4 linked regions of the Ovis aries genome follow. Each later gene encodes a partner of the first gene's protein in a complex. Links are inferred from orthologs where the notes say so. Each region holds a gene or a part of one and is shown on either strand. Other genes may lie near its edges.

Region 1 (7,763 bases):
GGGTGGATTCTTTACCAACTGCGCTATGAGGGAAGCCCCATGAATTCCTGTTAAGTTGCTTCAGTCGTGTCTGACTCTTTGTGACCCCATGAACTGTAAGCCTGCCAGGCTCCTCTGTCCACAGGATTCTCCAGGCAAGACTACTAGAATGGGTTGCTATTTCCTTCTGCAGGGGGTCTTCCTAACCCAGGGACCGAACCTGCATCTCTTAAGGCTCCTGCATTGACAGGAGGGTTATTTATCTCTAACATCACCTGGGAAGCCACTTTCTATTATAAGGGCTCCTAAATCTTGTAGGTGAAGGGAATAATGAAAACATTTCAACAATCCAGATGATGATCAAGGCCCGAATAGTGGAGACAGAGTGGACAAAAGTGGATTTGAGAGATGCAAAACTGAAGTATAATAGGACACAGTATCCACATGGATATTTGGGATGAGGGTTGAGGTGGCATTAAAGATGAGTTTAATGTTTCTAGACTGTTTGTCTGGATATCAGTGTCTCTGAGCAAGATAGAGGCTGTTACTTCCAGGAGGAGTTTGTTTGGCAGAACATAGAATAATTATCAAGGCATCTGAAAATAGTTCCATTCTCTGCTAAGTATAGGATGATAGGCTCTACTTTTGTGTAATGGTTAGTTTCATGTCTCAGAACGCAAAATGTAGAAACAATTAGTTTGAAAAATTGCTACTCTGAGGTTGCTCTGAAGAAAGTAGAAGAAAGGGGACACTTTGGTGAAAGACACCACGCTGTTTCAGACCTCATCATAGCCTGGGTTTAGCTAGAAATATGGCCTCACTTTGCGGGAGATTTCAAAAAGTTCGGAGGAAAAACACCACGATGCTGGAGGCCCTAAAGGGAGGCAGGGGTCCTGACCCTGTTTAGAGGAGTTTTGGGGAGGGTTAGCCTTTCAGGTAACTCAGCACCGAGACAAGGGAGGAGGGAGGTGGACTGGATTGGGCAGGAGATATTCCTGGAAGGACAGGGGGTTCAAGCAAATCCAGCTGAAGCTTCCGCATGGCACTGGGATGAGGTCAGAGGAGCTCATGCCAGGCTGGAAAGAGAGGAACAGAGATGGGGATGTGCTTTGAGGTTACAGGTCATGTGAGGCTCTGTATGTCAAGGGGTGAAGGCCCAAGTAAGAGGGCAGGGCAGTGGGCTCAGTGGGGACAAGAGGCCCTCAAAAGGTGTTTCAACAGTGGGCTGAAAAATTGGTCCAAGCAGGAAGAAAATAAAAGGCATTGAAGGAAAAAATATCACTAGAGGGACTTCCCTGGTGGTCTAATGGTTAATGACTCCTTGCTTCAGGGAAAGGCGTTCGATTCCTGGTCAGGGAACTAAGATCCCACATGCCAAGCAGTGCCCCGAAAAAAGAAACTGATCAAATAGGGGACAAAAACCGAGGAGAGAAAACACAGGCAAAGGACTCTTTTAGAAGAATGTTCTGTTGGCTGAAGAGGTGAATAAAAAATGTCAGATGACATTTTCATAAAATGATGGGCTTTTTAGGAAATGTTCTGAGAATGAATAAGAAAACAGTGTAGACGTACCTGGCAGGGGCAGGAGGGGATTAATGATGACAGCTGAGAACCAAAGGCCTGGGCTATCGTTGCAGCAGACTGGATACGTAAGAAATGATGTTGGAGAGCTCACCGCAGCATAGGCCATGTTGGAGAATCAGGCTCAGAAAATGGGCAGCCACTGGGACCACGGCCAAAATGATGCCACAGAACTGGTCTCGGAAGGTGCTGGCTATTTAGGCTATTAAACACCGGCTGCCACAACCCATTCGGCTGTCTGCACTGGGCCTTGGGTCAGTGCTGCTGCCCATAGCCACAGAGGATGGCAGGCCGAGTGTCTCTGATGGAGGTGGGGGTACCCTGCCTCTCCAGCTGCTTGGAAGCCGGAGGAGCCAGGATGAGGCACGCTCGTCTATGATGGGAAGTGAGCTCTGTCCATCAACGTAGAGATTTCCCAGCTAGTGGAAGGGGCATCAGTCAAATTAAAGATTTGTTTCAGGTTGTAGCAAGGAGACTAATGTTAACAGTTGGAGAACTGCAATTGTTTTAGAGGAAACTGAAGACAGCCTGTGCTCTGTCAGTGGCGACGGGAACGGAGAAGAGGGCACAGGTTGCAGTGAGAGGGCAGCGGGTGAATGGAGCTTAATGACTACTTAGATTCAGATGCCTCTGAATGCCTGCGGCTTCAGGAATTGGGAGTTGCACCGCCATTCATCAGGTGAAGGTCTGATCCCTGGTTAGGGACTCCAGATCCCACAAGCCATAAGCGTAGCCAGCAAAAGAGAAGCTAGTCTTTGTGAAAGAGCGACAGAATCCCAGCAGGGATGCCCTGGTTCTAGTCATTCATTCTTAGGTCCAGCCCCTTCTGTGTCCCTTACTCCTTTCAGAGGACACAGCCCCCTAGCCCTCACAAACGTTCCATGACCTAAGCAGAAGCTGGAGTCGGCTGCTCTGCAACCAAGGGTCTTTATGAACACCCAGGCAGAACTCTGCAAATATGTGACGCCAGCTGTGTGAAAACCATTCTTCTGCATCGCTTAAGTGTTCCTGCAGTGTGAATGACCACCTGAAAGGGGTTTAAAGGAGGTGATTTCTGCCGAGGGTGGAAGGAACATCGACGGCAGCAGCCACCTGGCCCTGAGCGACTGCACTGCTGGCGGCCAAGTGGGGAAGCTGGGTTCCACCCAGGTTGGACCTCAAAGTTCTTATTACTAAGCTAGAGGTTCTCAAACTTTTGAGTCTCAGGATCCCCTTATGATCTTACACACTGAAGAAACCAAAGAGTTTTTATGGGGGTTGCATCCACAGATATTTACCACAATGGAAATCAAACTGAGAAATTTAAAAGATTTTAAAAGAACAAAAACCCATCACGTTAACATAAATATTTTTATTCAAAGTAACTAGTTTTCAAAACAAAAGTTAGAAGAGTGGCACTGTTTTACATTTTTGCAAATCTCTTTTATATCTGACTTAGCAGAAGACAGCTGGATTTGCTGCTCTCTTTTTTCATTCAATACGTTGCTTTGTCTGAAGGAAAAAAAGAAAAATTGGCCTTGTACAGACACGCAGCCGGAAAAGGAACTTCGTGAACCTCCTGAAAGTGTTTCCATTACTCCCGCAAGTCCTCAGCACACACTTTGAGAATCACTGCAGTAAATTAACCCGCCTCTCAGTTAAAGACTAAGAGACTGAAGTAGTGTTAGAACTGGCAGTTCTGTCCACAGCCAAGGCATCTTAAACAAATTACAAAGGGTGGTGGTGAGGAAGGGAAACCTGAATTCTCCCGTTAACTCTAAATGACACTGTTTTCCAATTTGAGTTCACAGATTACTCCATCGCCAGCCAAGATGACATATTAATTTTTTTTCAAGTTAACTTTTCTAAACTAAAATGAGAAAGCAACATGTCATACACAAAGTTAACACCTGTACAGCGTTCTCACAGTTTATAAGGCCTCTTTCTGTGCCCACATGATCCTGTTTAGTCCTTAGCAGCCACTTCACGGAGGAGGAAGAGCTCGGAGCAGACAGACCACTCGCCCAAGATCATCAGCAGCAGCCAGGCTGTGGACCAGGCTTCCTTGAGACCAAGCGACGTGCTCACAGGACGATCCTGCTTTGGCTCTGATGAACAAACACCTCACTTTCAAAACCTAGCCTTCCACCCTAGAAAGGGGCGGGAGGCCCTTTACTTGTGTTCACTTTTTGCACATACACAAAAGACAGCGTCTGTTCTAGAATCCAACTGGATTTTATTTGACACAGAATACAGTATGGCTGCCAGAATAGCAAACTGAAAAGACAAAGCAGAAGAGACACAGTTCTATCTAATTTATAATAAGTAACAGGAGGGCAAGTCATTCAGTGGATAACAAAAACAGTTGAGCTTGATGGAAGAATTCTTTTTCTAGTGCCCATACCTGGAAGACAAAGTAAATTATTAATTCATTCCTTATCGTGATTCCCTGTTTGAGACTGTAACACCTGCTAAAAATATATCCACCAATCTGGTTAAAACTTTGAAGATTGGGTTTCAACCCTTGTCTCTGCCCCTTTCAGCCTACCGGCCTCCTGTAACATTGTCCCTACCACCCTCTTCATAGTGATGGTCCCCCACTCAACTGCACCCACCTGACTCTTTCCTGGTGCCAGGCAGATACTGGGCAGTGACAGGGAGGAGTCACGGCTAATGGCTGTGAAAGGGAGCTGCACTTGATGGCCAGTATGCAGCTAAGACAGCTTGAATCCTCCGCCCTCTTCCCTGTGGGCCGCCTCTTCCCCTCAACTCCCATACTTGGGCTAGTTTAGGGTAAGACCCCTACAGAGGATAGTAACCGAACAGCCTTCAGTGTCAAAATCTATCACCAGTTCCAATTACAGCCCTGAGTCTGCTGAGCACCACCGAAAGAACTGTCGAGAAACTAGCTATGGATCTCAGGTCCTTTCTGATTTCCTCAGAGGCCAAAACTTGGCTCCAGAAAGATTATAACCAATGGTAGGACATTTTTTCCACATGTAAGATTTCTTGAACACAGAATCCATTATTATCTTAATCTTTGGCCATGGTTCTTAGTGGGTAGTTCGCCTCTAATGAAAATACTTTGCTACACAGATGGAGACCAGGGCACCAGAATTCTGCATCACTGTTGCCATCATCCTGAAGGGCTGCTAGATTCTTTAAGTACTCCTTATAAGAAATTCGCTTAAAAATTCCCTAAAAAAGTCCTCACAGGGTAGAGCTCCAGCTTGTTAGTGAGAATAACCTAGAAGTTATCCATCAGTTTAAAGCATGCTGAAATGAAATTTGCTTCTTATGAATTTGTTTTCCCAGGGCGCTCATAACCACAGCCAGGCAAAGTCACCAGCTGGATAAAGCGACAGTGTCAAAGCCTAGCAGGAGGATTCGTCACCCCCCCACTTCTTAGGCTCAGCCCTGGGCACGTGTATGGGCTACGTGAGACAGTTTTGATCCAAGATGGCACCCTGAGCCTGCTCCACGGCACAGTCAATTACAAAGGTCTCTTGAGAACTTCGAAAATCCCCCTTTCCATTAAAAATTTGATAAATTAACTGAAAATTCAACAGATAAAAAAGCATTTCACAGACAAATACAACAGGCATAAAAACATATGAAAAGCAGCCCAACTTTACTCAAAGTTTTAAAAAATACAATTGAAAACTAATTTTCACCTGTCAGTAGCTAAGATGAAAACGTCTGATAACAAAGCACTGGCAAGAAATGGAGGAGGAAGTCTTCTGCTTCACTGTTGGTAGGGGCTGTGAATTAGTACATACTCTTGGGAAAGGAAAAAAATCTGACACTATCAAAAATAAAAACATACATACTCTTAAACCAGAAATTCCTCTTTTAGGAATTACTAGTACAGACTGATCATTTGAAGTTTTGAAAATTTGCACGCCGTGTATTACTTACACGCTACTACAATTAACAGCAGCAACAATAATGATTTAGTTGAGATAGCCACAGATGCTGTATCAGAATTAATCCCTGTGAGATAAACCAATGAAACATGATATAATTCTAGCCCAAAGCAAAGACAGATGACATTAGTTAGCCCCTGGAGCCTTATTCTTGATGTGATTGTGGAAATATTTAATAGCTTGCAAAATGAGAATTTGCAAGCTTCTACTACTACTTCCAAAGACCCTACCTAGATGGCTGGGAAACTCCAGGCTGCAAGTTTCTAATGCTGGTTCACCTTATACACTTTCCACAGAGACGCGTCCTCATCTAACTAACCGAAAGCTACTTTATGAACCAGCCATGTTCTATGTCTTCATCTTCTAAAACTGTGCACCCTCCAGCTTGACGTGGGTCCAAGAACAGTACTGACCACAAAGCCCAACCTTACATACGATGTCGAAACAGCCGGGGACACCTACTTTTGGAATTCCCACTCTCTGTTGTCCAACGGACACACCTGCCGTGTTTTGAGCCAGCGAGAGATGCAGTGGAAGTGGAAAGCATGCTGGAAGAAAAGATACATTTTATTAAAAATAATTCTGTGCAGGCTCAGCCGTCTACGGACAATATATCTCAAGGGGAGCAGGGTGGTGATACACAGCGGCTGGAGAAGAACCATGGAAGGCAGCACACAATGGGAGACAAAAGGTCTACAAGGGGTCACACCCGGCTAGGTGCCAGGCCGCGGCCCATGAAACATTTGTGAGAGGCTTTGTTCCTACCAAATGAAGAACATGTTTAGGAAGCATGGCGGGTGTTCACGCAATGAGGTCTCTTCCCCTTTGCCTAAGGTAAGATGCAGTGGGGCTTCCTGGGTCTAGTCGGCCTGGAAGGGAGGCTTGCTTTCCTCACACACAGGCAAAAGGAGGCCCTCAATCATCCACACATTTCAAATTCCCCACTCTTGGTCTCCAGATCCCTCCCCGTCTTGGAGAAGGCAACCCCAGGAGGAGAGGGTTTTCCTTAGCACGTGGCGGTGCATCACTCCCACCAACCACCCAGAACTGCGACAGGCACGTCCCCAACCTTCCACACCCAGCTCAACACTGCCCAAAGGACTGTATTTGCAGATTTGCTCATAGAGGCATTGCTAGTATGAAAGCTTGGTACTCAACAAGCCTCTAGTAGTCGGTGAGAGATTTTGTCTTAAAAAAGTGAAGTGAAACAAAGTCACTCAGTCGTGTCCAACTCTTTGCGACCCTGTGGACTGTAGCCCACTAGGCTCCTCTGTCCATGGGACTCTCCAGGCAAGAACACTGGAGTGGGTTGCCATTTCCTTCTCCAGGGTCTTAAAAAAGGAATCAGATAAAAAAAATCAGGGTAAGAGGAAGCAATGTGATGGGCACGCTGCATGCAAGCAGCTGGAAGAACATCAAAGGGCTAGTTCCATGATCAAGATGGGAAGTAAAAGGGCAAAAGTACCAAGAACACTGGTGCTAACAGGGAATGAGGAGCTGGCCTTCGCATTTGGGGAAAAGCAGTCTGTGTGTGTTAGTGACGTGCAGATGCAGTTCTGCAATGATGCTTATCCTTCAGCCCTGCTCGTGTGAGCAGCATCAGGATGGAGCAGCAAGGGTCCCCGCATCTGAGCCACGACGGGTCGGCTGAGGTGAGGCCTAGGGAGAAGTGCTGACACCCCAATACACAATGAAAGTTTGGGCAGGCCTGGCTTACAGCCCCGAGACCTGGTCAGTGTGTCTACCCAAACATGCATGGAACTTAGAGAATCATAATGTGGATTATCATCTGTGAAACCGACTTTCCACAGACAGACACAGAATGCGGTGATGAAGTCTAGAGTCCACACCAGTGCACTGGGGCTACTCGGAGGGACAAAGACTCCCAGGGCGACGGCCCTCTGCAAGATCCTTTTAGTCCTGATGCTCACCCAACTTACGGTGAAAAAGAGGAAAAACAAAATTTCCAAAGGGCAGAAAGTGGAGGCATTTTTTTCAATCCCCAGGCAGCGGGGACAGGCTCACCTAAGGGCATTCAGGAGCCCCTTCTCCCTCCCAGCTGCCCCACTAGGCTCTTTGCCGCAGTTCAGGGTCCTTGTACTTGCGCCCCACCCTGAAGACGGAGGGAAAGAGGGGCTGCAAATGAGGCTGCTGGGCCGGGACAGCATCCCTGAACATCCTCGATCCCAGCTTTCCTCCTGCGAACAATCTAAGACCTATCAATGGACATACCCAGCAGTCTCAAAACGCACTGCCTAGTGCTTTAACACTTGACAGGAGGGCTATAAACACCTATTA
Region 2 (7,571 bases), about 66 Mb from region 1:
AAATATTCTTTTACCTAACTCTCAAGAGTCACTTTTCCAGGTAAAGTGTCATTCCCACAAAAACAATCAAGTGCAATCCAAACAAAAGTAAAATAAAACAGAAGAATGCAATGTCTACGGTTCTTCTAATGATGCATAGAGTAAGTCAAACCATTTAACTTGAGGCTGAACTTTTCCTCCTTAGAATTTGTTAAAATTGGCCTTGCTGGACAAGGACAATTGACGTCTGTTGATGAAGAGGATTTTCAACCCTCTTTCTTTTTAAAGAGGTGATGTTTTCCCAGGCTAAAAGAACCTTACTGTGGCACCTGAAGTGTGAACGCACTCGAGACTGCTAAACTGTCTTTGGAACTACGGAAATCCCCACCTTAAGTAGCTAGGCTGTTCTTTTTTAAATTGGAATATGAAAAAGATGGTCATAATCACAGCTAAAAATGTCTCTTTTCTGTATTAACAGTCTGGGATATGTATTTGAAGGAAGGAAAAGAAATTAGATGCAAGCAACAGATGTGTGGTGAAAGAGGAACAGCGGGGAGAAAAGCAAAGAGAAGGGAAGAACAGTTAGTTCATGGAATACATTTCTAATTTTAGGCACAAAACCAAATTCTGTTAAACCAGACTTCTTTGCAAAACAGCTCGCTGATCACATTGGAGAATTTGGAGGGATACACGTGTTTCCATTCATCCACCAGGTCTGCTTGGCCAGCCTTTAGAACGTCAAAATGCTAACTGGGCATTGCAACTGTGGGGATTTTGTCTCTGAGCACTATCTCAGGGAAAAAAACCTCTAAGGTGCAGTTTTTCTTACAATACCATTTTCGTCCTGACCATCCTCCTCCCACCATGACTACCACCCAGCTAACTGATGGAGAACGAAGGACATGCTGCACCTGTGCGTGAACCTGGAGTGTGGAGAGAGAAGGGCTTGGGGTGGGGGGCGGCCTTCAGAGGCAATCACCTTGGGGAGAATACACTAGGAACCATGAAGACATAGTGAATGTCTCTGACACCAATCTGTAGATGCGCGGCAGTCATGACGTGATCAATGGCCTGCCACTGATGTTTATTACTCTGCCACACTAATTACAGTAAGGCTCATCGTACTTTTAGAACACAAAAACAGTTTCAGAAAGTATAAAAACTTAAAGCATTGTCCCCATGTATTTTATAAAACAAAACAAACAACTTTCTTACATTAAAACAAGTGCCGAAAAGATACAAATGAGTCGAGTTATTAAGCAAATAAAAACAGGTCTGAGCTACTCTTTTTCAACCCAATAAGGCTCAGCAATGTCGTATCTTTCAGAATTACCAGCATCGGGGGGCTCAGCTCAGCTAACCAGTTTTGGCAATACTGTCCTCTGCTGAATATTCCCATTGGCATCTGTCATCTGTGCCAGATTAGTCCTCAGTTTGGAAGCTGAGCTGGAAGGTGGAGGTAACTTGGAAATGGATGTGATAGCACCAGTGCTCTCGGTGATCCTCTTCACAGACGTCTTCTCCCCCGTCGGAGGCTTTGGCAGCCGCCTCCTCAGCCAGGGGTGCCGCAAAGCCTGGCCAGGGGTCATGCGAACTGCAGGATCCCATTCTAAACACTGTTTTAAGAAGTCAAGGAAGAGGGGATCGTCACACCCCTTCAGTGCATTCCCCCACTCTCTGCTCTCTGGTGGGCCCCTCAGTTTCCCTCTCCGGGAGCGGCCACCATTGAGAACCACAGAGCCATCTGAGAGAGTCGTGACAGTGCAGTAACGGGGATAACCCTTGGAGCTCACAAAATTTTTGGCTCGTTTGGATGCATCCAGCAGTTTCTGGGAGGGCATGCCCAGCAGTTCAATCATACAGGCCAGCTGGTCCCCTTCATCCTCCCCAGGCAAGAGAGGGTAACCAGTCAGGAGCTCTGCGAGGATGCAGCCCAGGCTCCACATGTCGATGGGCATGCCATACCTGGCGCCGAGGATCACTTCCGGGGCCCGGTAGAAACGGGATTGGATGTATGTGTAGACCCGCTGGTGCTCGTAACAACTGGAGCCAAAATCAATCACTTTAATCCCGCTTCTACCCTGCTGCTTCAACAAAATGTTCTCAGGCTTCAAGTCACAGTGAATTATCCTGTTTTTGTGCAAAGCGTCCAGGCACTGCAGGATGGAGTGGGCGAACTTGCGAACCAGAGGCAGACTAAAGCCCTGGAACTTGTTCTTCTTGATGAGCTCATAGAGGTTCATGCTGAGCAGCTCGAACGTCATGCAGATGTGGTTGCGGAAGGTGAAGTTCTCCAGCATGTGGATGACGTTCATGGTGTTGTCCTTGTCCTGCTTGCGCAGATGCTCCAGGATGCGGATCTCCTCGGCCGCCTGCCGGTGGAAGCGCTTCTCGTTCCGCACCATCTTCAGGGCCACGTGCTGGTGGACTTTGTGGTCATAGGCCTTGACCACCTGCCCAAAGCTCCCCTTCCCAATGACCTTGAGGACCTCGTACCTGTAAGCCACGTGATCGTGGGGCACCTGCACGTAGGATCCCTGGTCGTCATCGTAGCCACCGTTGTTGGGCCCGCCTGTCATGCCCTGGCGCTTCTTTGCATTTGGACCCAAGAAATATATTTCAGGGTAGCTGAAAATCTCATGGTGTTCAAAGCTGGTTAGTTTTTGCATGTATTGCTTCATTGCTTGCTCAGGCGTCATGGGTGTGGCTTTCACCTTCCCCATGCCTTCCAGAGACTTCAGAGAGGTGGAACTCCCCTGCCGTCTGTGGATGCTCTCCAGCTGCCGCTCCGGCACCACGGGCAACCCCGTTTTGCCCACCGTGGTAAGCCCATTTGGTTGTGTCGTGAGCACTGTCCGCTTGTTACTGTTATCCTCAAACAGCTGCTGAACCTGGATCTGTCCGTGGCTGCTGACGTGTAGGTGGTCATTCATTGTGTGCTTACTGCCGCCAATCTGGAATTCAGAGAGGGAACATCAATGGAACAGAAGCGGTTTGTTCAAAAGGGCTATTATATAAGTTGGCTCCCACCCCCACCTTTACGAAATCCAATCTGGTTTGAAAGTACAGTCTGTATCAGGTTTCTTCAAAGGAAAGAGCTGTGCACGCAGCAGACACCTCACCGACACTGCCGCAGGGAGAGTGGACGTCATGACGCAGATAGCCTCAGACAAAGGCAGAAGAGGCTGAGGGGCTGGGGATGGCTATGAAACTAGGGATCCGGAAAAAAAGAAAGGACTCCAGAACTGCTGCCCCTGAGGCTGAGGGGCTGGGGATGGCTATGAAACTAGGGATCTGGAAAAGAAGAAAGGACTCCAGAACTGCTGCACCTAACGAAGAGTTTGCTGTACATGTTTTCAGGGTCCTTAGAGTAAGTTCTCAGTGGAGGCAGAGATCAGGTTTCTTGGTCATCATTCTCTACCTAATATTTAGCAAAGGCACTGTGGTATCATAGACATTCCACTCAACCCATACTTGACATCAAGATGAAAGGATACAGAAAGCGCATGAACACGTCGGCACTCTACTGGCTCTCCCGCCCCCGGATTACAACATTTTTCACACTTCACTAGTAGCTTCTTTATTACCATGAGGGTAGGGACCAGGCCAGTCTCGTTCACTACTCCATCTCTGGCATTTAGCTCTATTCTGAGCACTGCTGTCTTCATTCTTGGTCTTCTCCACTACTTGCAAATCAAACTAATTACACCTAGGAAAGTACATGATCCAGAAGCAGAGAACTGTACTTTTAGGCTGGAAAAGATTCCCATGTAGATATGCACCGTAGTATCTTGTAAACCCCAAACCTATTTTAAGTCTCTGGGCTGTACTGACTGTGATGACCATTTAAGGCCATCCAGCTCAACAATCCAACCGCCACACTCGGGCCTTCCTTTGGTCAATGGCTTGGCTCTCTCAAAACATGTATTTCTCCCCGCTGCTGGGATACTCAGCTTTCCAACAAGGAATACAATGTAGTGATTTCTATTTCAGGAACACAAGCCATCCCTAAACATTCTTGTATGAACAAAAGTGATGGCATAAGCCAGGGGGCCCCAGCCTTCCTACAGAGAATCTACCTGGGATTTCTCTCAAGCGTTATTATCGCCAAGAGGTGAGGGATGGAAGAAAACTAACAGCCAGGATCCCCTCCCAGTTAGGAATTCTTGCCAGCCTCAGACAATAACTCACAAGTCTTAAAAGCATCTCAGCAGGTGATTTTTTTTTTTATATGAAAGCTTAAAGATCAACTTGCTATTTGCAATCCATCTCATTCATTCAGTGTTCTCTGAGGTCTAGCCACACAGCCCTTCAGGAGTATACAGTCAACGAGCTGAAGTCCTCAACTTTCAGTTTTTCCCATCATCTCCTAAACCCTATCTCTTGGGCTTTACATATCACTAAATGCATAGAAGTGCTCTATGTAATATCATAATTCAAGAAATGGTTTGGGACTACATAGATTACAGAATTGGAGAAGGCAATGGCACCCCACTCCAGTACTCTTGCCTGGAAAATCCCAAGAGTGGAGGAGCCTGGTAGGCTGCAGTCCATGGGGTCACAAACAGTTGGACACGACTGAGCGACTTCACCTTCACTTTTCACTTTTATGCTTTGGAGAAGGAAATGGCAACCCACTCCAGTGTTCTTGCCTGGAGAGTCCCAGGGACAGGGGAGCCTGGTGGGCTGCCGTCTATGGGGTCGCAGAGTCGGACACGACTGAAGCGACTTAGCAGCAGATTACAAAATGAAATTCCAAGTCCATCTTACTAGGAGTCCAAGACCTTCAAATTTTCTTTAACTGATGCACTATCTGAGGCATGTGCTTTCTCTGCAATCTTCTAAAACAAAGGAGAATACAGTTCAGTGCTTGGGCCTGTCTGAAGTGTGATTTCATTGACTGAGGGATTTTACTTCTTAGATTTCTGCAAGACTTCTAGCTGAACCCTTCTACTAAACTCACAGATGGTATTCTATGCTAAATGAACTTATCTTCTGTCAGTGTAGCTAGACAAGTTATTTTATCCTCATTCTTTGCCAAAAGCAAAGCAGTTCATAAAAATGAATTAGGGAAGTCCTGGATGTATATATAAACGTAGTACAGGCTTGTCTAATGCTTTTTGTCCAAGCCTCACTCTCTGTACCTCTCCTCCTCCCCACTGTGGTCTTTCAAGTATCAGGAATCAAAGGACCTGAAATTAGAAATACATGTCTCCTAGAGAACCACTCTCTTCAGGGCAGCCTAGAGAGACTTCAGAAGAAAAACCAGCATCACCAGGATACACAGTACGAAAGCATGAGGCTTCACTGGGGACAAAATTAACCTTGGAGCTATAGGAAGTTATAAAAAGAGGGCAAAGTAAAACATTCTGAGCTTCAGAAACCGACTTCCATTTCCATAATAGCAATTTTAATGTTCTGCATAATTTAAAATACCATCACAAAAGCTGGAGTGACTAGAACTAGAGTTTGCCAATTAATTGGAGGACCTCGGTCTCTACCAACTACCTTCTCTTGGTCTCCTCCACAGCAGCAATCAAGGAGGGTTCCAGGGTTCCCCCAGGGTTCAAGCCTCAAGTTGCTCGTGTCTTTTTACTCCCAGAACACCTCCAGCTTAGACAAGCCCGATCCATGACCCCTGAACTCAAGACTCACCTGTGTCCAACTACAGATCAGCTGCCTTCCTCACGGGCAACTCAAACTCAACTCACTTTTTCCACTCAAACCACTTCTTCCTCCCAGAACCCTGAGTTTCTGAACAAGAAAAGGCTGTGCTGCTATGCTCAGTTGTGGCGAACTCTTTGCGACCCCATGGACTGTAGCTCAACAGGCTTCAACGTCCATGGGATTTTTCAGGCAAGAATACTGGAGCGGGTGGCCATTTCCTTCTCCAGGGTATCTTCCCCACAGAGGATCAAATCTAGGTCTCTTGCATTGGCAGGCAGATTCTTTACCTACTGAGTCACCCTCCCGAATAGTCACTCAGTCCATCTCCATATCTCCTGTACCTTTCCAAGTCACCATGGAGCCCCACTGTCATTTCTAACTGACCCACTCCACTCTAGCCATGCTATCCCACCTGGCGTTCTTGTATCTTTTACTGGGACAACGGAAGCAGCCTCCTCACGTGTCCTTTTGCTTCTAAGCCTAGAATTCACTGCCTCTTCTCTCCATGATGTTTCTGGAGTTACCACTGAAAGTGTCACTCACACTGCCCTTGACTTTGCCTAAGGTTCATGTGGGCACTCCATTTCCACAAAGAACTCAAGAACTCACAGGCAAGAACAGGAGGTTCTAAAATGCTGAGCCTAAATGACCTGAGTCTTTCCAGTGTCACCTACCACTGTCACTCTCTCTCTTAGAATAATAAGCTGGATTCCCTACGACCCATGGAGACAGCACACTCTCTTTTATATTCCTCTCTTTTCGGTGAGGTCATGTTTCATAATGGTTAGGTGTTCAGGGATTTTCAATTAGACACAAGGGAAATGAATCTAAGCTCCACCACTTCACACTATGTGACCTTGGGCAGTTAATCTTTCTGAACTTCAGGGCCCTTATCGGTATAAAGAGGGTAACAAAGCTGCCTCATTAGGGGCGTTAGGAGGGTTAAACAAGGTAAAAGGCATAGTGTGCTTAGTATAGTAGTGAGTAAGCAGAGACATTACTTTGTCAACAAAGATCCGTCTAGTCAAGGCTATGGTTTTTCCAGCGGTCATGTATGGATGTGAGAGTTGGATGGTGAAGAAAGCTGAGCGCCGAAGAATTGATGCTTTTGAACTGTGGTGTTGGAGAAGACTCTTGAGAGTCCCTTGGACTGCAAGGAGATCCAACCAGTCCATCCTAAAGGAGATCAGTTCTGGATATTCATTGGAAGGACTGATGTTGAAGCTGAAACTCCAATAATTTGGCCACCTGATGTGAAGAACTGACTCATTTGAAAAGACCCTGATGCTGGGAAAGATTGAGGGCAGGAGGAGAAGGGGACAACAGAGGATGAGATGGTTGGGATGGTTGGATGGCATCATCGACTCAATGGACATGGGTTTGGGTGGACTCCGGGAGTTGGTGATGGGCAGGGAGGCCTGGTGTGCTGCGGTTCATGGGGTTGCAAAGAGTCAAACACGACTGAGCGACTGAACTGAACTGAAAGGAGGGCTAGAACTACTGTTCTTTCCAAGTGCTGCCGGAAATCTCCTTGCTAACGTGGGCTATGTGGAAAACTCCTACTCACCCTTCAATGGCTAGTTCAACTCTCACCTCCTCTTTGAAAAGGGCCCTTTCCCTTCCAGCATGCTTACAGAGCACTGATATATTAATACTTATTTCATTTCACACCTGTTTTCACACCTGATATACCAACCAGGATGTGAGCAGTTCCAGGGTGGGGTCACCTCTTATCTTTTTACATCCTTATCGACATAAATCCAAACATACAGTAAGCACTCAGTCAATTTCTGCTGAATGGAAGAATGTATATCAGCAACTCCTTTTTAACTCTCACCTCTTTGAGTTATTCTTGACAACTACCTTTGTAGCTTCATAAGAAAACATGAAGTTAACACCCAGGGAATCAAGACTTGTCACTGGTG
Region 3 (8,078 bases), on another chromosome or scaffold:
AGATTATAAGGAAACACATCAAAATGTTAATATGGCTTACTTCCAAGTGGCAGGGTTACAGGTGATTATTTATTACCTTACTTAGATGTTCAGATCCTTATTAAGCTATCATGAATATGCATCACTTTTATAACTAGAAAAGCTACTAAAATGAATTCATAGCTTTGCTAGACTACAACTGAATAATTTTCACAATATACTTATAGACATTAACTGTAATTCATGTTTTAGCTCAGTGATTTCTTACTAGTAGCACCTTTTTTTGTTGACTTTATAATGATAAACAGGAACTATTAATAAAGTTCCATTATTTAAAGCTACAAACTGTCCAATAACTTTTATAAAAATCTAGCAAAACTGCTAACACCAAGATTAACAGCAAAATTTTTTGCTGTTAAGATTAACAGATAATTTTTTTCCGAATAACAGCAAAAAATTATCTCAGGTCTCCCAATGTATAACACAATGGGAAGATACACTATTTTTTCTATCCTTAATTATATAATCTTGTTGAAATAGAGAGAACACTATTATTACCTAGCTACATTTAATGAATGAAACTTTCTCTTTTTCGTTTGAATGAACTTATCGTGTGACTATTGTATTATTTAACAAGTCAAATTCTCACATTATACTCTATACTATTAAAACTGTTTCAAATTCAATAACTTTAGTACTAATAATTTGGTAGTAATAATTTTCTTGGCTCCTCAGAACTGCTTTCTAAGACAATACAAAATAGACACTTTATAACTACTGTATCTTTTTCATTTTTAAGCTTCTGAAGGCTGTGAGGTACTAACTATAACACAGCTGGCTGTCTTGAAACCATTAAATACAAAAAAAATCAGTCTAAGTGAAAGCAATACTTTAACGAATGCTATATCTCCATAACATCCCTATAAGAAAATACTAAAGAATAAAAAACAAACCAAGCTTAGAGGTTAATTCCGCGCCCTGTGTGATTTGCAAAACTCTTCTTCAATCTCTCTGTATGTACAGTCCAGGTAGTTTAGGCAACAGCTGCTGCTGCTGCTGCTGCTAAGTCACTTCAGTCGTGTCCGACTCTGTGCGACCCCAGAGACGGCAGCCCACCAGGCTCCACCGTCCCTGGGATTCTCTTGGCAAGAACACTGGAGTGGGTTGCCATTTCCTTCTCCAGTGCATAAAAGTGAAAAGTGAAAATGAAGTCGCTCAGTCGTGTCCGACTCCTAGCGACCCCATGGACTGCAGCCCACCAGGCTCCTCCATCCATGGGATTTGCCAGGCAAGAGTACTGGAGTGAGTTGCCATTGCCTTAGCTACTTACTCTAAATAAAAGAAACCTATTTTGAACATTAAAGCTGTTCCCTTAAATCTAACAAATAACACTAGAGCTAGGAGAAACAAAAACATTAACTTTCCCTCTTGTCCTTAAATCCTTGTGCTCTTAAGTATTTAAGAGCATAACAAATGAGTGTCAGTCATTCTGTGGGTTCCATTTAACAATAGCTTCTCTAATTGTCCACGCCACACAGGTGGTGCTCATCTAGAATTATTGCATGCACATCACAGCCAGAGATTCCTTATCATGACTGGGGTGCTTCTATAAACCAGTAAGTGAAACCATTTTCAGAAAATGTTCTAATGAAAATCACTTTCACAATTTGTCTCCTAAACTCTGAAGTCTAAGTCAAATAAGGCAAGTCAGAGGAGACCAGTATTCCCATTCAACCATATCCCCCCCTCCAATACAACCAAGCTTTTCAAGCCCATGCGGACAAACTACCCAACTACAGTACAGGCGGTGAGGAATGACTATTACAAAGGTAAGAACAAAAAGTTCACCTGACAGCAACTAATCCTACAGAGTGAAACTGAAGCACAGGAGTGAGACACATGGCAACAGCAAGGAGATAAGGGCAGGAACTTCTTGGGACAGCATTCTTTGGTCCAAAGCCACAGTTTCCAGGAGTTTCACAACTACAGCTTCCTTTCTTAAAAAAGTTTTGTGTCCCTTGCTGTCACTGTGGGTACCAAAAAACTCCAAAAGATGTGAGATGCTATATATTTTGTTCACTGCAGCAAAGTTTACAAACTGGAATAAAATATTTCCTCCATCATCAATCTGTTACATACAAAAAGCTCTTCATTGTTTTCTGTCTTAAAAAGAACCAACTTCTCAGAACCTGATTTTACTGATGAGACTACAGCTGGGGTAGGTTTACACATTTACAAAATATCCTGTACCATCACTTACTATTTTGTAAAGATAACAAAACAATCTTCAAACATATTTTTATACTTTTTCACAGATCAGTTTTATAAAACACTCTGAAAGGAGTATTTGAGGCCTCTGCTTACACTACAATTTCCCTTAGAGTAGTTGTTTATCTCAAATCGTAAAATACAGTAGTTTTAAGTGTGCACACATGAATACACACAAAATATTTTCTTCATGGAATAACAGGCATTTATTACTTCTGACTTGCAATCCATGCAGACTACAGTTAGGTAAATGACTGCTAACCTGGAAGGAAAAAAAATTCTGAAACTCTTAAGTATTCATTTACCAAATAAATCACTGAAATCACACCACTGAGGTTTTATGTAGCCATCCTTAATGAAAGTTCAAAGAACTATGATTTTTACATTTATATATTTAAAAAATGCAATGGTTCTCACTGTAGGAACTACTCATGAGTGATGTTAATACCCATGAGAAAATTTAAAACTCTCAGACATTTTTAAAAATTAGCAGATACTAAGTACTGAATATCAAACACTAGCTACTTGCAAACTTCATTTAAGGATTTTAGAGAAACTTAAGAGGGCAACAAATTACAGATAAGAAAAGGTCTGAATTAGTTCATTATCATAATGCGCCTGAAAAAAAAAGTCAGCTTCAGTGCTGTGTGGTAACCTGTCACACACTCTGATACTCTTTAGCTAAAAGAACAAAATTCTCTCCCACAGCTTCTTCCCAACAATACAAGATCCAGAAAGGAGGGATATTGTTCTCTGAAGCTATACTGATACATCCCAAGACCCCAGAACAGTACCTGGCACACAGTCCTCAGTATTTCCTAAAAGAATGAAGGAGTGGAAAAACAGGTAGGGACAGGCAAACCAAGAGATCAAAGAGTTGATTACACATAGATAAAGATAAAGCTGATTAATCAGAATATCCACAACAGTGAGTTGATGTCAAATGTGAGCTATTCCACCTTTTAACAATAATCTGTATTAGAAGTCAGACTTCAAGAATAGCAAACTTCTCTTAAAAATGTATAAAACTATTTGAAATTCTGAATAATTCTAGATTCTGCTTATTTAATAGGAACTGATTCAGTAGGAAAACTATCACTACTCACAAATTCATAAACCCAGTTCACTGTTTATAAAGAAAAACGTGCAAGTGAACTTCATTAGTGCTCTTCTGTCAACACTTGTTACTTTCTTTGTACTTTCTCACGATTACTTAGGGAAAAAACTTCCGAAATTCAAAATCCCTTTAATGTGCATTAAAACATCTAATTCTCCTGATTATATCCTATCTTTATTTACATAAAGTCCGAAGAGTCTTCACATAGGTATTAACATTTTTATTACCATCTGGGAATTCTGCATCAGGTGTATTTTTTCCTTCTAAATTTTAAGAATTCAGGGAGGTCCTCAAGTTCTCTAGGTCGGTTTCTTACTCAACTAGGACAATTATATTAATTTTTCCTCTAAAGTGCAAACTGTACTTTAGAAAAAGCATGCTTTAAGAAGTGAATACAAACCCTCTTCACCGCCCCCCACCACTCAATATAACGTGCTTGTGATTCTAAGACAGGAAACCACAGCTTCTTCTCTATAGTTTTCCTGGTTTAAAATCTTCTATTCAATTGCTAGTTTGTCCACCTTGACGTCTACCTGTTACAGAAGCGACATGAGCAAGTATGTCCAGTTTCTCTGTCCCAAGAGTACACTCTAATTGCTTGCCACTGGCTATCTGATTCAGATACGACATCCAAAGTTATACCATATAATACTAAACACCGCAGGGGTATGACTTAATTTAAGGCCAAAAAAGTTTCTAAACAAAAATACTTTTGCTGTCACTAAAACCTAGAGTAAAGCAACTCACGGTGGTGACTACTTATTCTTTTGGGCTTCCGTGGCTAGGAAATGAAGAACCAATCGTCTCATTTGTTTTGTCTTACTTCCCCTTGAGTGGCTAGGCCATTCCTGCACAGGAGAGTTTGTAAAGTGCATTGGAAGGTTGCGGATGAAAGATTCTGTAAACACACCGACGTTGTTAGTGTATTACTACAGAGCATTACGCGGAACGTCTGTCACCGCGTAGAGGGTAGGTGGACGGCAGAGCCCTTCCTGGGGAGGGGAAGATCGGGAGAGGTCCGTCCCCGGCATCTTTTAGCAGGCCATCCTTTAGGCATGGTGATTTTTTTTCAACTGCTGCGAAACCTCACGTGAAAAGTTACACACACGCCCCACACCAGGAGGACGTAGACGATCCCCATCCCTGCAGGGCTGGGAGTCCCGGGGACCGAGCAGAAGCGGGGTGCTAGGGGTTGGGCCTACACCCCAGGAGCGCGGCGAGGTGCCGGGACCGGCCGAGGGGCCCCGGCCGCAGCCGACGCCCGCGGGGCGACCGGAGGCGCAGCTCCTGGGCGGGGGCGCGGCGCCGGCCTCGGATGCCGGGGGCGCGGGGAACGGCCCCGGAGGGTGGCCGCGCCGGGGCCCCGCGCCGCCCCGTTGCCGGGAAGGCTCGCGCCCCGCGGCCGGCGGCGTGGGGGATGGGAGGCCGGGCCTGCGGCCTGTTGGGGGGGAGTTCAGCCCGGGCCTCGCGTGCGGCTGTCGGCCGGGCCCCCCGACCCGGGGTCCCAGGCGCCGAGAAGAGACTCACCGGAAAGGCCCGGATCCGCATCTTGGTGTCCTTCCGGCTGCCCGTGCCTTTGCTCAGATTCGACATGGTGCTCGTCCCCTCCCCGGCGGCGGCTTCAGGTCGCACTCCGAGGCGCCGGTGTCACATTTAAGGCGGGCGGGCAGGCGAGGGGCGACGCTGGGGGCGGCGGCGGCGGCGCGGCCCCCGGGCTGGGCTGGGGAGCTGGCCGGCCCCTGGGCGGCCGCGGCGGGGGCAGCGGCGGCTCGGTCTCCGGCGGCTCGGGCTCGGCTGGGGGACTGCGCTGGCGCGGCGGCTCCGCGGGGTCCCCCTCACGCCCGGCTCGGCTCCCTTTATCGCGCTCCTCCGCGATGGCGGCGGCGGCGGCGACGGACAAACATCTCACTGCGCAGGCCGAACGTCCTCCTCCTCCTCCTTCTCCTCCTCCGCCTCAGCGAGACGAGATCCGGCCCAGAGGGTGGAGGGGGGAGGAGGGAGGGAGGAGAGCCGGAGAGTGGAGAGATTGGGGGGAGGGGGGGAGGACAGAAGGGGGAGGCGGGCGGCCGCGGCAGGAGGAGGGGGACGCTCAAATCTCGCGAGAAGAGGGCGAGCGCGCTTTCCCGGGTGGGGCGGGGCGAAGCCTGCGAGCGGGAGGGGGCAACGGGAGAGGAGGAAGGGAACGGGGATTTGGGAAGGTGGGCCAGCGGGGCGGAGAGGTAGGAAAGGGGCGGGACTGAGGCGGGAGGAGTGAGCTGACTTTTTGAAAGAGGAGCGTTGAAGACCGGATCCTGGGTGAGGGGGCTGCTGATTGGTGGAGCGCCGGGCGAGGGGGCGGGGTCTTGTTCACGTGGACGGAGTGGGCAGGGGAAGTTCCGAGAGCCGGAGCCGGACTGTAGCAGGCAGTGCTCGGCTCCGCTTGGCTGGGCTGGGCTAGAGCGAGAGGAGGGTAGTCTCGGGGTGGAGCGTAGGGTGCTAGGTGGATAACCACGTCCTGAAACTGGTTCCTGTGTTTTTCTAGGGCAGGTGGACTAGGGATGGGTACTTGACCAGAAGCCAGAAAGTTGAAAGAAGAGTTTGTGCAGGAGTTATTAATATATGCAGTGTCAGAAAGTAGAGTCCTGTATGCCTAACAAGGTATTCGGATTGGATGTGCACACTCCAGCTGTCAAGATTGAGGGGTGGAAATCCGTAAAATTTCCTTAAACTGATTCACTGTTGTCTGAGAGACCTAGAACTTACTAGTATTAAAATTTGTGTTTCGTTGCCTTTGAAATAACAACTCCCTTAACTCAGTGCAATATTTTGGTAAATGGTGTTAAATAGAAAATAGAATAATGGAAACCTAACCTTAACCTGCCAAGTCATTTTAAGAGTATGATACATTTTGAAAGCCAAAATTTTTGTCTTTCTTTTCAGTTTGCTGATAATTTGAGGGAATAAAAGTTTGGCATTGCATTCAAAAAGTCTAGTTTGATTCATCAGTTTTGCTTTTCATTATGAATTTTACACCCTAATTTACCTCTTTGTATTGTTATAGTTGGATTTCTGACTGCAGAGGAATATGTGAGTTCCCACTAAAGTTTGTGATATCATTTTTAAGTAAGAACCTATTGTTGGAATGAATATTAATAGAATGTTAATACTTTTAAATTTTATTCTTAATGCCTTCTTTTAAGCTGAAGTTTAATTCTTTTTAAATATTTGGAAGCTGGGGGGTTTTATTTTCTATTTTTTGATAAATGAACTGGAATATACCTTTTTGATTTGTTCACTGTAAGGTTGGATTTTCCCTAAATTAACTTAATCCTGATAACTAGATTCACCAGTGTTGTGCTTTCACCCCTTACTTGGTTGAAATGCCCTACTGAAAACATTTTCTTGTTTTGTTTTCTGGTATTTGCTAATAAAACAGAGCTTAAGAAACAAGGATGTTGCTTGAAGCAATATCTATGTAAGTACTGAAGCTAAAAATAGGTCAAGAATTTTGCTGATAAGCTAACAATGGGAGGGACTCTGATTTAAATGTAAGTTACTATGAGTCTTGGATAGGAGTTTATAACCTGTGTGCTGATTGAACCTTCATTTCCATAATTGTTAGACTATATTAACAACCAATGTTTTTGTATTGGTTGCAGTGTCACATGGCTCAGTTTCTTTGTGATGTAAGAAGACTGCTCTGTCCAAGGGATTCTCCAGGCGAAAATACTGGAGTAGGTTGCCATGCCCTCCTCCAGGGGATCTTCCTGACCCAGGATCAAACCCACTTCTCCTGCACTGTAGGATTCTTTTTGCACTGAACCATCTGGGAAGGCCTTCTACTCTTTTACTGGATGTATTTTGTGTCTTTGGGGGCAAGGGCTAGGCTGTTTGTCTAGAGTTCCTTATCTGTGAAATGGAGATAAAAAACAATGTTTCTTCCTTGGGCTACTCAAATTTAGATGATAAATACATTTTTTAAAACCCTGAAAGCAGTGCTCAGCACAGAGTAGTCACTCAAAACCTGTTGGCTGCTACTGTCTTTGGTAATTAAGGCCCAGCTTATACTGTCTTCCTTTATTCAATATGTAGGTTTCTTTAAGAATGCTGTATGTTTTTACAAAATGAACCTTACTTGGATTTCAGAAACCAATGAAGTAGTTTTTTAAAACACTAGAGAACCAGTGTAGGGTTGACAAGTGTATTTGGCAAGTAAGAGCATTAAAGGGCTTCCAAGGTGGCTCAGTGGTAAAATAAATCCCCCTGCCAATGCAGGAATCACAGGAGATGCCACTTTTATCCATGGGCTGGGAAAATCCTCCAGAGAAGGAAGTGGCAACCCACTTCAGTATTCTTGCCCAGGAAATCCCAAGGACAGAGGAGCCTGGCGGGCTACAATCCATCATGTCACAAAAGAGTTGTGCACGACTTAGCCAGTAAAACAGCAACAACAAAAGAGCATTAAAAGAAAATAAATAACCGGGAGTATAGACTAGCTTCATTATTTTATTTTGCTTTTTAAAGTATTTTAACCACAGAAATGGAGGAAGGTCAGTTTGTGAATGAAGTTTGTTCTTTAGAACAATTCATTGAGGTGATTTTTCTTCTTTCAGTGTGAACCTGAGAAAACACCAGCGTGAACGCCACACTAAAAGCCAGCATTTAGGAAACCCCCCCTGCATTAAAGCATATATCCATGTAATTGTGAAACGTATAATCTCCTTTTGCTTTGTGA
Region 4 (8,066 bases), on another chromosome or scaffold:
AAGACTAGAGATCTCTTCAAGAAAATTAGAGATACCAAGGGAACATTTCATGCAGAGATGGGCTCAATAAAGGACAGAAATGGCAGGGACCTAACAGAAGCAGAAGATATTAAGAAGAGGTGGCAAGAATACACAGAAAAACTATACAAAAAAGATCTTCACGACCCAGATAATCACTATAATGTGATCATTCACTTAGAGCCAGACATCCTGGAATGTGAAGTCAAGGGGGCCTTAGAAAGCATCACTACGAACAAAGCTAGTGGAGGTGATGGAATTCCAGTGGAGCTGTTTCAAATCCTGAAAGACGGTGCTGTGAAAGTGCTGCACTCAATACGCCAGCAAATTTGGAAAACTCAGCAGTGGCCACAGGCCTGGAAAAGGTCAGTTTTCATTCCAATCCCAAAGAAGGGGAATGCCAAAGAACGCTCAAACTACCACACAATTGCACTCATTTCACACGCTAGCAAATTAATGCTCAAAATTCTTCAAGCCAGACTTCAACAGTACGAGAACCGTGAATTTCCAGATGTTCAAGCTAGATTTAGAGAAGGCAGAGAAACCAGGGATCAAATTGCCAACATCCACTGGATCATTAAAAAAGCAAGAGACTTCCAGAAAAACATCTACTTCTGCTTTATTGACTATGCCAAAGCCTTTGACTGTGTGCATCACAATAAACTGTGGAAAATCCTGAAAGAGATGGGAATACCAGACTACCTGACCTGCCTCCCGAGAAATCTGTATGCAGGTCAGGAAGCAACAGTTAGAACTGGACATGGAGAGTTAGAGGAGCAAGGTCGTGAGGCAAGAAGCGGTAGGTTTGCAGCCGCCGTTTCTTCCGCCTCCGGTCTCTGGATCTTTTGTAGAGCGTCCAACAGCGCTATGTTGGGACAGAGCATCCTGAGGTTCACAACCTCTGTGATTCGTCGGAGCCACTGTGAGGAGGGTCCAGGGAAGAATATACCATTTTCAGTGGAAAACAAGTGGAGGTTACTAGCTATGATGACTTTGTTCTTTGGGTCTGGATTTGCTGCACCTTTCTTTATAGTAAGATACCAACTGCTTAAAAAGTAATCCATGAGAAAGATAGGAAGAGGAGCATATTAAGAGGTGCAGTCTCTTAAAAGGTTCAGTCCCTTGAACTCAGCATCCTAAATATGTTTGTAAATAAACTTATGGCATAAATCCTTAAAAAAAAAAAAAAAAGAACTGGACATGGAACAACAGACTGGTTCTAAATAGAAAAGGAGTACGTCAAGGCTGTATATTGTCACCCTGCTTATTTAACTTATATGCAGAGTACATCATGAGAAACGCTGGGCTGGATGAAGCCCAAGCTGGAATCAAGATTGCGGGGAGAAATCTCAATAACCTCAGATATGCAGATGACCCCACCCTTATGGCAGAAAGTGAAGAGGAACTTAAGAACTTCTTGATGAAATTGAAAGAGGAGAGCGAAAAAGTTGGCTTAAAACTCAACACTCAGAAAATGAAGATCATGGCATCTGGTCCCATCACTTCATGGCAAATAGATGGGGAAACAGTGGAAACAGTGGCTGACTCTATTTTTGGGGCTCCAAAATCACTGTAGATGGTGATTGCAGCCATGAAATTGAAAGACACTTACTCCTTGGAAGGAAAGTTATGACCAACCTAGATAGCATATTAAAAAGCAGAGACATTACTTTGCCAACAAAGGTCCGTCTAGTCAAAGCTGTGGTTTTTCCAGTGGTCATGTATGGATGTGAGAGTTGGGACTATAAAGAAAGCTAATCACCAAAGAATTGCTGCTTTTGAACTGTGGTGTTGGAGAAGACTCTTGAGAGTCTCTTGGACTGCGAGGAGATCAAACCAGTCCATCTTAAAGGAAATCAGTCCTGGGTGTTCATTGGAAGGACTGATGCTGAAGCTGAAGCTCCAATACTTTGGCCACCTGATGCGAAGAAGTGACTCACTGGAAAAGACCCTGATGCTGGGAAGGATTGAAGGCGGGAAGAGAAGGGGACCGCAGAGGATGAGATGGTTGGATGGCATCAGCGACTCAATGGACATGAGTTTGAGCAAGCTCTGGGATTTGGTGATGGACAGGGAGGCCTGGCATGTTGCAGTCCATGCGGCTGCAAAGAGTTGGACATGACTGAGCGACTGAAGTGAACTGAGAGTAAATCTGCTTGCCAGCCTGCAGCTGGGTCCCTGCACTCCAACCAGAGGCTCCCGTGTTCATTTTTCTCCTCCGCCCTGCAGAGGACCCCATCCTGCGAGGCTCAAGCGCGAAGGCCGTGTCTGGAGGATGGAGAGCTCTGAGGGGAGGACAGAGCTAGGATAGCTCAAGCTTGAAAAGATCGGGGCCAGGGTGGGGGGGGAGGCGGGCAACCGTGGATGAGGGAGAAAATAAGTGGAGATACACTGTCCTGGCCGCGCACCCCGCTGCGTGAGGCACCTAACGAGATGAGTAGACCGCGCCCGCCCAGGAGCCGACGTTCTCAGTGGGAGAGGCCATCCAGAAGGACTTCTGGGAGGTGGTGGCCACACAGCTGTGCACCAGATGAGGACTTTGTGGGGAGCAGAGACAGCATTCCAGTTTGAAGACTGTGTCCACAGATCCAGTCTAGCGAGCGGTCAGCCAGCCGCCAGGAATTTCTAAGCATGAAAGGAAACTTGGAGACCAGACCCAGCCCTCCAGCCTGGGTCAGCCTGGGCAGGCAGATGCCAGCTCATGGTGCAGAGACTGGCCTGGAGGGGCAGAAGGGAAGCAGTCGCTGTCAGCGGGGAAAGAAGCAAGTTCGAAGGGCAGTGTTGGCTGGAGACCTGGGGAGGAGGCAGGTTCCCCAGTACCTGTAGAGGGGAGTGATGCGTGAGGAAGGGTCAGCCCAAGTCATGGTCGGGGACAGCCGAGCTGGAGTGGGTTTAGGGAAAGACAACGCCCTCCAGGGACCCAGGACGGTGAGGAGGCCGCAGATGTCCAGCTGAGGGCCTACCTGGGGGTGTCATGAGCTTCTGGAGGTCATACACTGAGCCAGAACAGGGATGGGGAAAGGAAGGTGAGCCGAGTGCAGAGCACACTTTTTCCAAGGGCACCCAGAAGGGCAGGGAAGGGGTGACCGCAGAGGTCCAATGGGGCTGGGAGAGAGTCCTCTCCTGAGGGTGGCAGCAGCCAGCCTGCAGTGACTGAGTGTGGAAGAGGGGGACAGGCCTCTGATGCTTCTTCAGATGAAGAGGGAGACTGGAGGAGGACACCTCCAGGGCAGGAGAGAGGAGCCGGCGGGTGGGGAGGACAGGAGGCCCGGAGCAAGACGGGGGCGCTGGCCGGGGACTGTGGGGAGCTGGAGGGACCCTTATCTCAAAATACAGCCGGCTCAAGTCAATGGTCCCTGCCACGGGAACGTCCGCAGCAGAGGAGGGGCAGGGCGGGGGAGGCCTCAGGGAGGGACGGGCAAGAGCACCTGGTGTCCTCCCAGGGACATGTCAGCTTCCGAGCAAAGCCTCTGTTCCCCGAGGGTCCCAGCTCTGGCTGCTCCGCCGTGGCTGTGCTTCTGCATGGAGAACAGGGCTGGCGCTTAGGAGAGTAAGAACAAGAGGAGGGAGGTGAAGCAGAGAGAGGTCCGAAGCAGAGATACTAGGCAGCAGGCGGGAGTGGAGAACGGGAGGTCTGACGTCTCCGCCCAGCGGGAAGGGCCTTAAAGGAGAGCAGCACCCGTGTCTGTCTGCAGAGCAGTTTGATCACAGCCATCCTGAGCAAGCAAAAATCAGTCGAGACTGGCGAAGACATTGGCAGCAAGCGGCAAAGAGTCTGTGAAAAAATTCATCCAGGGAATCCCCTGGAGGCCCAGAGGTCAGGATGTGGCGATTTCACTGCTCAGGGAATTAACAGCCCCACAAGCTGCATGACACAGCCAAAAATGAAATTTCTTAAGTGCAAAACAATCACAGATGATATTGAGTCCATTAAATAAGTGGAAATGAATGTGAGCAGTTAACACTCAAAAGAGGACACAAACCAGAGAATTCCCTGGAGGTCCAGTGGTTCCGAAGCCTGGCTTCCAATGCAGAGGGCGCCATCTTCATCCCTGACTATTAACAAGACCCCACATGCCGCAGGGCAACGAAGTCCCGGCGCCCTGCAGTCAGGGAAGCCGATGCTCCGAGGGGGACCAGCCCATGTGCCACAACGAAGAGCGGACCAAATAAATAAATAGAGACTTTTAAATACGTGCGTCAGTGAGAGTAAAACAACAAACCCCCGAGTGACGCCGTTCATCAGTGAACGCGTTCGTCCCGTCACTGACGATAACCGTTCAGAAGGCGTCAGGAGTTCCTCTCCCAGTGAGGTCTCGCTGGCTGCACAGGCTTTTCTCCAGGTGCGCGAGCCGGGGCCGCCGTCCTGCGCGGGGCCTTCTCCCTGCTCCTGCAGCTCCTGCTGCTGTCCCCTAGGGGACACAGGCTCTAGCAGCGGTGGCACGTGGGCGCAGTTGCCCCCCTGCACGTGGGATCTTCCCGGACCAAGGATCCGCCTATGTTGCAGGTGGACCCTTAACCACTCCAGGGGCTTTTTTTTTTTTTTTTTTAAGAAGAACTTTTAAAAGTTAATAATTAGAAAGTGAACCAACCTGAAAAACGATAAAGGGTCTTTACCGGAAGCTCACAGAAGAGGAAGTCCCCGCCGGTATGAACAAAGGAAGTGAGCTCAAGGGCAGTAATACTCAGGAAATGCAAATGTTACACCTCGCTTTCCCACGCTGGTAAAGAAAACACTATTCTGACACCTGTCGAAACAGTAAGAAAGACTGCTCAGGAAGCCTACTGCCGTCCTCGGGGCTCTCTCAGCGGGGGAGGGCTCCGGTTCTCCTCTGAGTACCGCAAAGACAGCTAGGGCCAGAATGAGGGGCTGCTGGATGCAAGATCACTCATGTGAGATGTCAAGGGTAGGGGCATTCTTGCTGCCCTGGCCTAACGGGATTATCCAGGGTGGGGAATGAGGAACTTGATCAGGTATCAAGGCTGAGTGTACTCCCAGAACCGATCAGGCAAAGAGCTTTATCCAGGCTGGGCTAGGCAGTCAGGAACAGGGCAGGTGCCAGATGCGCCAGTTAGAGAGGTTTACAAACACGCCTGCAGGCACTTCCCTGGAGGCCCAGTGACCAGCAGTCCACTTCCCCGGGTAGGTGATGCCGCTGAGTGGAGAACTGAGCTCTCCCATGCACCAGCGAAGACCCAGCGCCCCACAGCTAGGACCCGAGGCAGCCAGATAAATAGATTTTAATTCGCTTCAAAAAAAAAAAAAAAGCCTGGAAGATCTTTGACTCTCCTCCCACCAAGGGGTGAATCCCAGTTTTTCTTCCTGTCCTTGTGCGTGGCCTGGACTTCATGGCTGGTTCTAAGGGACAGAATGAGGCATAGGGAAGGGTGTGTTTGTGAAAGGCCTCAAGCCTTGCGTCTGCCTCTGTCTGCGCTCCGTAAGCTCTCGCCCCTGACCCCGTCGTAAAGACACTCAGGCAGCCGTGCGGGGAGGCCTGTGTGGACCCCAGACCTCTGTCAAAACTGGCCCCCACTTGCCTGCCAGGAGCCAGCTGTCTGGCAATCAGACCCTCCAGCCCAGCCAGGCCTTCTGAGCTGTCTGGAACCTCACGAGACGCTGAGCCAGGGGCTTCCCTCTGGTCCAGTGGCTCTCTGAGCTCCAGCTCAGAGAGCTTAGGTTCGATCCCTGGTCAGAGGACTAGACCTTGCATGCCGCAACCAAGACCCAGCACAGCCAAATGTAAGAAACGAGAGAGAGAGAAAGAAACAAGAAAAGAAAAAGACTGAGCCAGAACCCAGCTCAACCGCTCCTGAATTCCTGGCCCATAGGAGAAGGCAACGGCACCCCACTCCAGTGCTCCTGCCTGGAAAATCCCACGGGCGGAGGAGCCTGGGGGGCTGCCGTCTATGGGATCACACGGAGTCGGACACGACTGAAGTGACTTAGCAGCAGCAGCAGCAGGAAGGATGGCAGACAATGGATGTTTATTGTTGCCATTTTCAGCTACTTGGCTGCGGCGTAATTTGTTACATGGCGGTACATAACTGATACCTAGAACTATTGGTATTGGCTATCCACATTTAAATAAATGCACAGTGGCTCTCCGCAGAGCAGCACTGCCAGTTCTGGGTATCCGAGGAATACCCCAGATGAAAGCAAGACAGTGTATGGAGGGTATTCACTGCGGCAGGCATATCGAGTTGTGAGAAAGCAGAACCAAAGCGGAAGTGAGACAGGAGGGAAGGGGGCAGGGAAAAACCATGACAAGATGATGCAGCCTTCAAGGATGTGACATTAACTGGTTAGAACCTAGCAGGCCCAAGCGGCAAAAGATGTGACTTCCAGTGGACCTTGGGTCTCATTGCACGCTTGTTACAATCCATTAGCTAACTGACACAGCCGCTGAGGCCAGGACAGTCCCCAGGTCAATCATAAAAGGCCAGAAGGTAGACAGTAGCCTAACTCCTGGAAATCCCTACCCTCTCACCAAGGAGGCCTAGTGTGCCACAGTCCATGGGGTGGCGAAGAATCGGACACAGCTGAGCGACTGAGCTGAACTGAGCTGAACCCCTTCCCCAGACGAGCTGAAATGACGCTCCCACTCAGCCACCGAAATCGGGCGGTGGAGTTCCATCGCTAGACTGTGTCCAACTCTTTGCCACTCAGCACGCCAGGCTTCCCCGTCCTCCGTCATTTCCTGGAGCTTGCTCAAACTCAAGTCCATTGAGTGGGTGATGCCATCCAGCCATCTCGTCCTCTGTCGTCCCCTTCCCTTCCCGCCTTCAGTCCTTCCCAGCATCAGGGTCTTTTCCAGTGACTCAGCTCTTTGCATCAGGTGGCCAAAGTATTGGAGCTTCAGCTTCAGCATCAGTCCTTCCGAGACTGTTCAGGGTTGATTTCCTTTAAGATGGACTGGTTGGATCTCCTTGCTGTCCAAGGGACTCTCAAGAGTCCTCTCCAACGCCGCGGTTCAAAAGCATCAATTCTTCTGGGCTCAGCCTTCTTTATGGTCCAACTCTCACATCCACACATGACCACAGGAAACACCACAGCCTTGACTGGACGGACCAGCAAGGAGACGTCTCTGCTTTTCAATATGCTGTTTACGTTTGTCACCCAAACTGTGAAAACGAAACACCCCGCAACCCAGGGCCGCCTCACTTTCTGAGGGGGACGCGTCCTGTCCGTGGAGCCCGTTTGTACGTAAACTCGCTTTCTCCCTCCTGTGGCTCACTCCTGGATTCTTGCCTGCGTGAGGCCGAGGCTCCTCACTTGGCAGCTGGTCCCAGGGACCCACCTGACTTCTGGGACATGACCATCCACTCACACTCCCTTCTCTGGCAACACGTGTCCATAAATAAACCGGTTAGGTACCTGACCTGAAGCAGGTAATTTAGAGGCTGTGATGTAGCAATGACTTTTTTTTTTTTTTTCCTTAAACCAAGTGACCAAGGATACAGCCCAGGCCCCAGCAGCGAAGGCACCAAGTCCCAACCGACGGGCCGCCAGGGAATTCCCAACAATAACGTCTCAACTTCACCAAATAGCCAAGTAACCCCATTTCCCAACTGTTCTCTACGTGTCCTTTCTCGCTGAAGGTTGAAATTTATTGGCATCAAGGTTCAGACAAGGTCGTGGCATTGCAGACAGGTGGGGAGCCTCTGGCTGGTCTTCCCAGGTGGTGCTGGTGGGAAAGAATCCTCCTCCTACTGCAGAAGAGCTGTGGGTGGGGAAGCCCCCTGCAGAAGGACCTGGCAGCCCACTCCAGCGCTCTTGCCTGGAGAATCCCGTGGACGGAGGAGCCTGGGGGCTGCAGTCCACGGGGTCACAAAGAGCCGGATACGCCTGAAGCGACTTAGGATGGGGCGCCTCTGAAGTGTATCTTTGTTTATCTTTGGGTTCCCCTTCACTTGTGTTTTTCTTCTTCTTCTTCTTTCTCTTCTTTGTTTTTAGATAAGAAGTAGATTTATTCGGATTCAGAGAGACACACACTCCACAGAGTGCAGTCTGAGGGAGAGTGTGGCAGCCTGCATTTTTCTTCTTGTTG

Evidence for each region.
Region 2: RBX1 (region 1) and DYRK2 share a complex: the UniProt entries of both Homo sapiens proteins name them as parts of the E3 ligase complex. The link is inferred for Ovis aries from reciprocal best matches to the Homo sapiens genes RBX1 and DYRK2.
Region 3: RBX1 (region 1) and CUL3 share a complex: the UniProt entries of both Homo sapiens proteins name them as parts of the BCR(ARMC5) E3 ubiquitin ligase complex. The link is inferred for Ovis aries from reciprocal best matches to the Homo sapiens genes RBX1 and CUL3.
Region 4: RBX1 (region 1) and KLHL22 share a complex: the UniProt entries of both Homo sapiens proteins name them as parts of the BCR(KLHL22) E3 ubiquitin ligase complex. The link is inferred for Ovis aries from reciprocal best matches to the Homo sapiens genes RBX1 and KLHL22.

Annotation. Positions count from the first base shown.
Region 1 is NC_056056.1:217,991,393-217,999,155, reverse strand, and holds the end of RBX1 (E3 ubiquitin-protein ligase RBX1), read right to left. Parts: intron 6,014-7,763; coding exon 5,928-6,013; intron 5,288-5,927; coding exon 5,224-5,287; 3' UTR 5,214-5,223; intron 3,944-5,213; coding exon of another isoform or gene 3,881-3,943; 3' UTR 2,892-3,880; downstream 1-2,891. UniProt on the Homo sapiens protein: E3 ubiquitin ligase component of multiple cullin-RING-based E3 ubiquitin-protein ligase (CRLs) complexes which mediate the ubiquitination and subsequent proteasomal degradation of target proteins, including proteins involved in cell cycle progression, signal transduction, transcription and transcription-coupled nucleotide excision repair.
Region 2 is NC_056056.1:152,288,374-152,295,944, forward strand, and holds part of DYRK2 (dual specificity tyrosine-phosphorylation-regulated kinase 2), read right to left. Parts: intron 2,934-7,571; coding exon 1,332-2,933; 3' UTR 1-1,331. UniProt on the Homo sapiens protein: Serine/threonine-protein kinase involved in the regulation of the mitotic cell cycle, cell proliferation, apoptosis, organization of the cytoskeleton and neurite outgrowth. Functions in part via its role in ubiquitin-dependent proteasomal protein degradation.
Region 3 is NC_056055.1:226,742,261-226,750,338, forward strand, and holds the start of CUL3 (cullin-3), read right to left. Parts: upstream 5,244-8,078; 5' UTR 4,958-5,243; coding exon 4,892-4,957; intron 1-4,891. UniProt on the Homo sapiens protein: Core component of multiple cullin-RING-based BCR (BTB-CUL3-RBX1) E3 ubiquitin-protein ligase complexes which mediate the ubiquitination and subsequent proteasomal degradation of target proteins.
Region 4 is NC_056070.1:72,508,668-72,516,733, reverse strand, and holds the start of KLHL22 (kelch-like protein 22), read right to left. Parts: upstream 4,671-8,066; 5' UTR 4,611-4,670; intron 3,537-4,610; 5' UTR 3,468-3,536; coding exon 3,447-3,467; intron 1,189-3,446; exon of another isoform or gene 1,078-1,188; coding exon of another isoform or gene 886-1,077; exon of another isoform or gene 784-885; intron 1-783. Other genes in the region: cytochrome c oxidase subunit 7C, mitochondrial-like, read left to right, coding at 886-1,077. UniProt on the Homo sapiens protein: Substrate-specific adapter of a BCR (BTB-CUL3-RBX1) E3 ubiquitin ligase complex required for chromosome alignment and localization of PLK1 at kinetochores.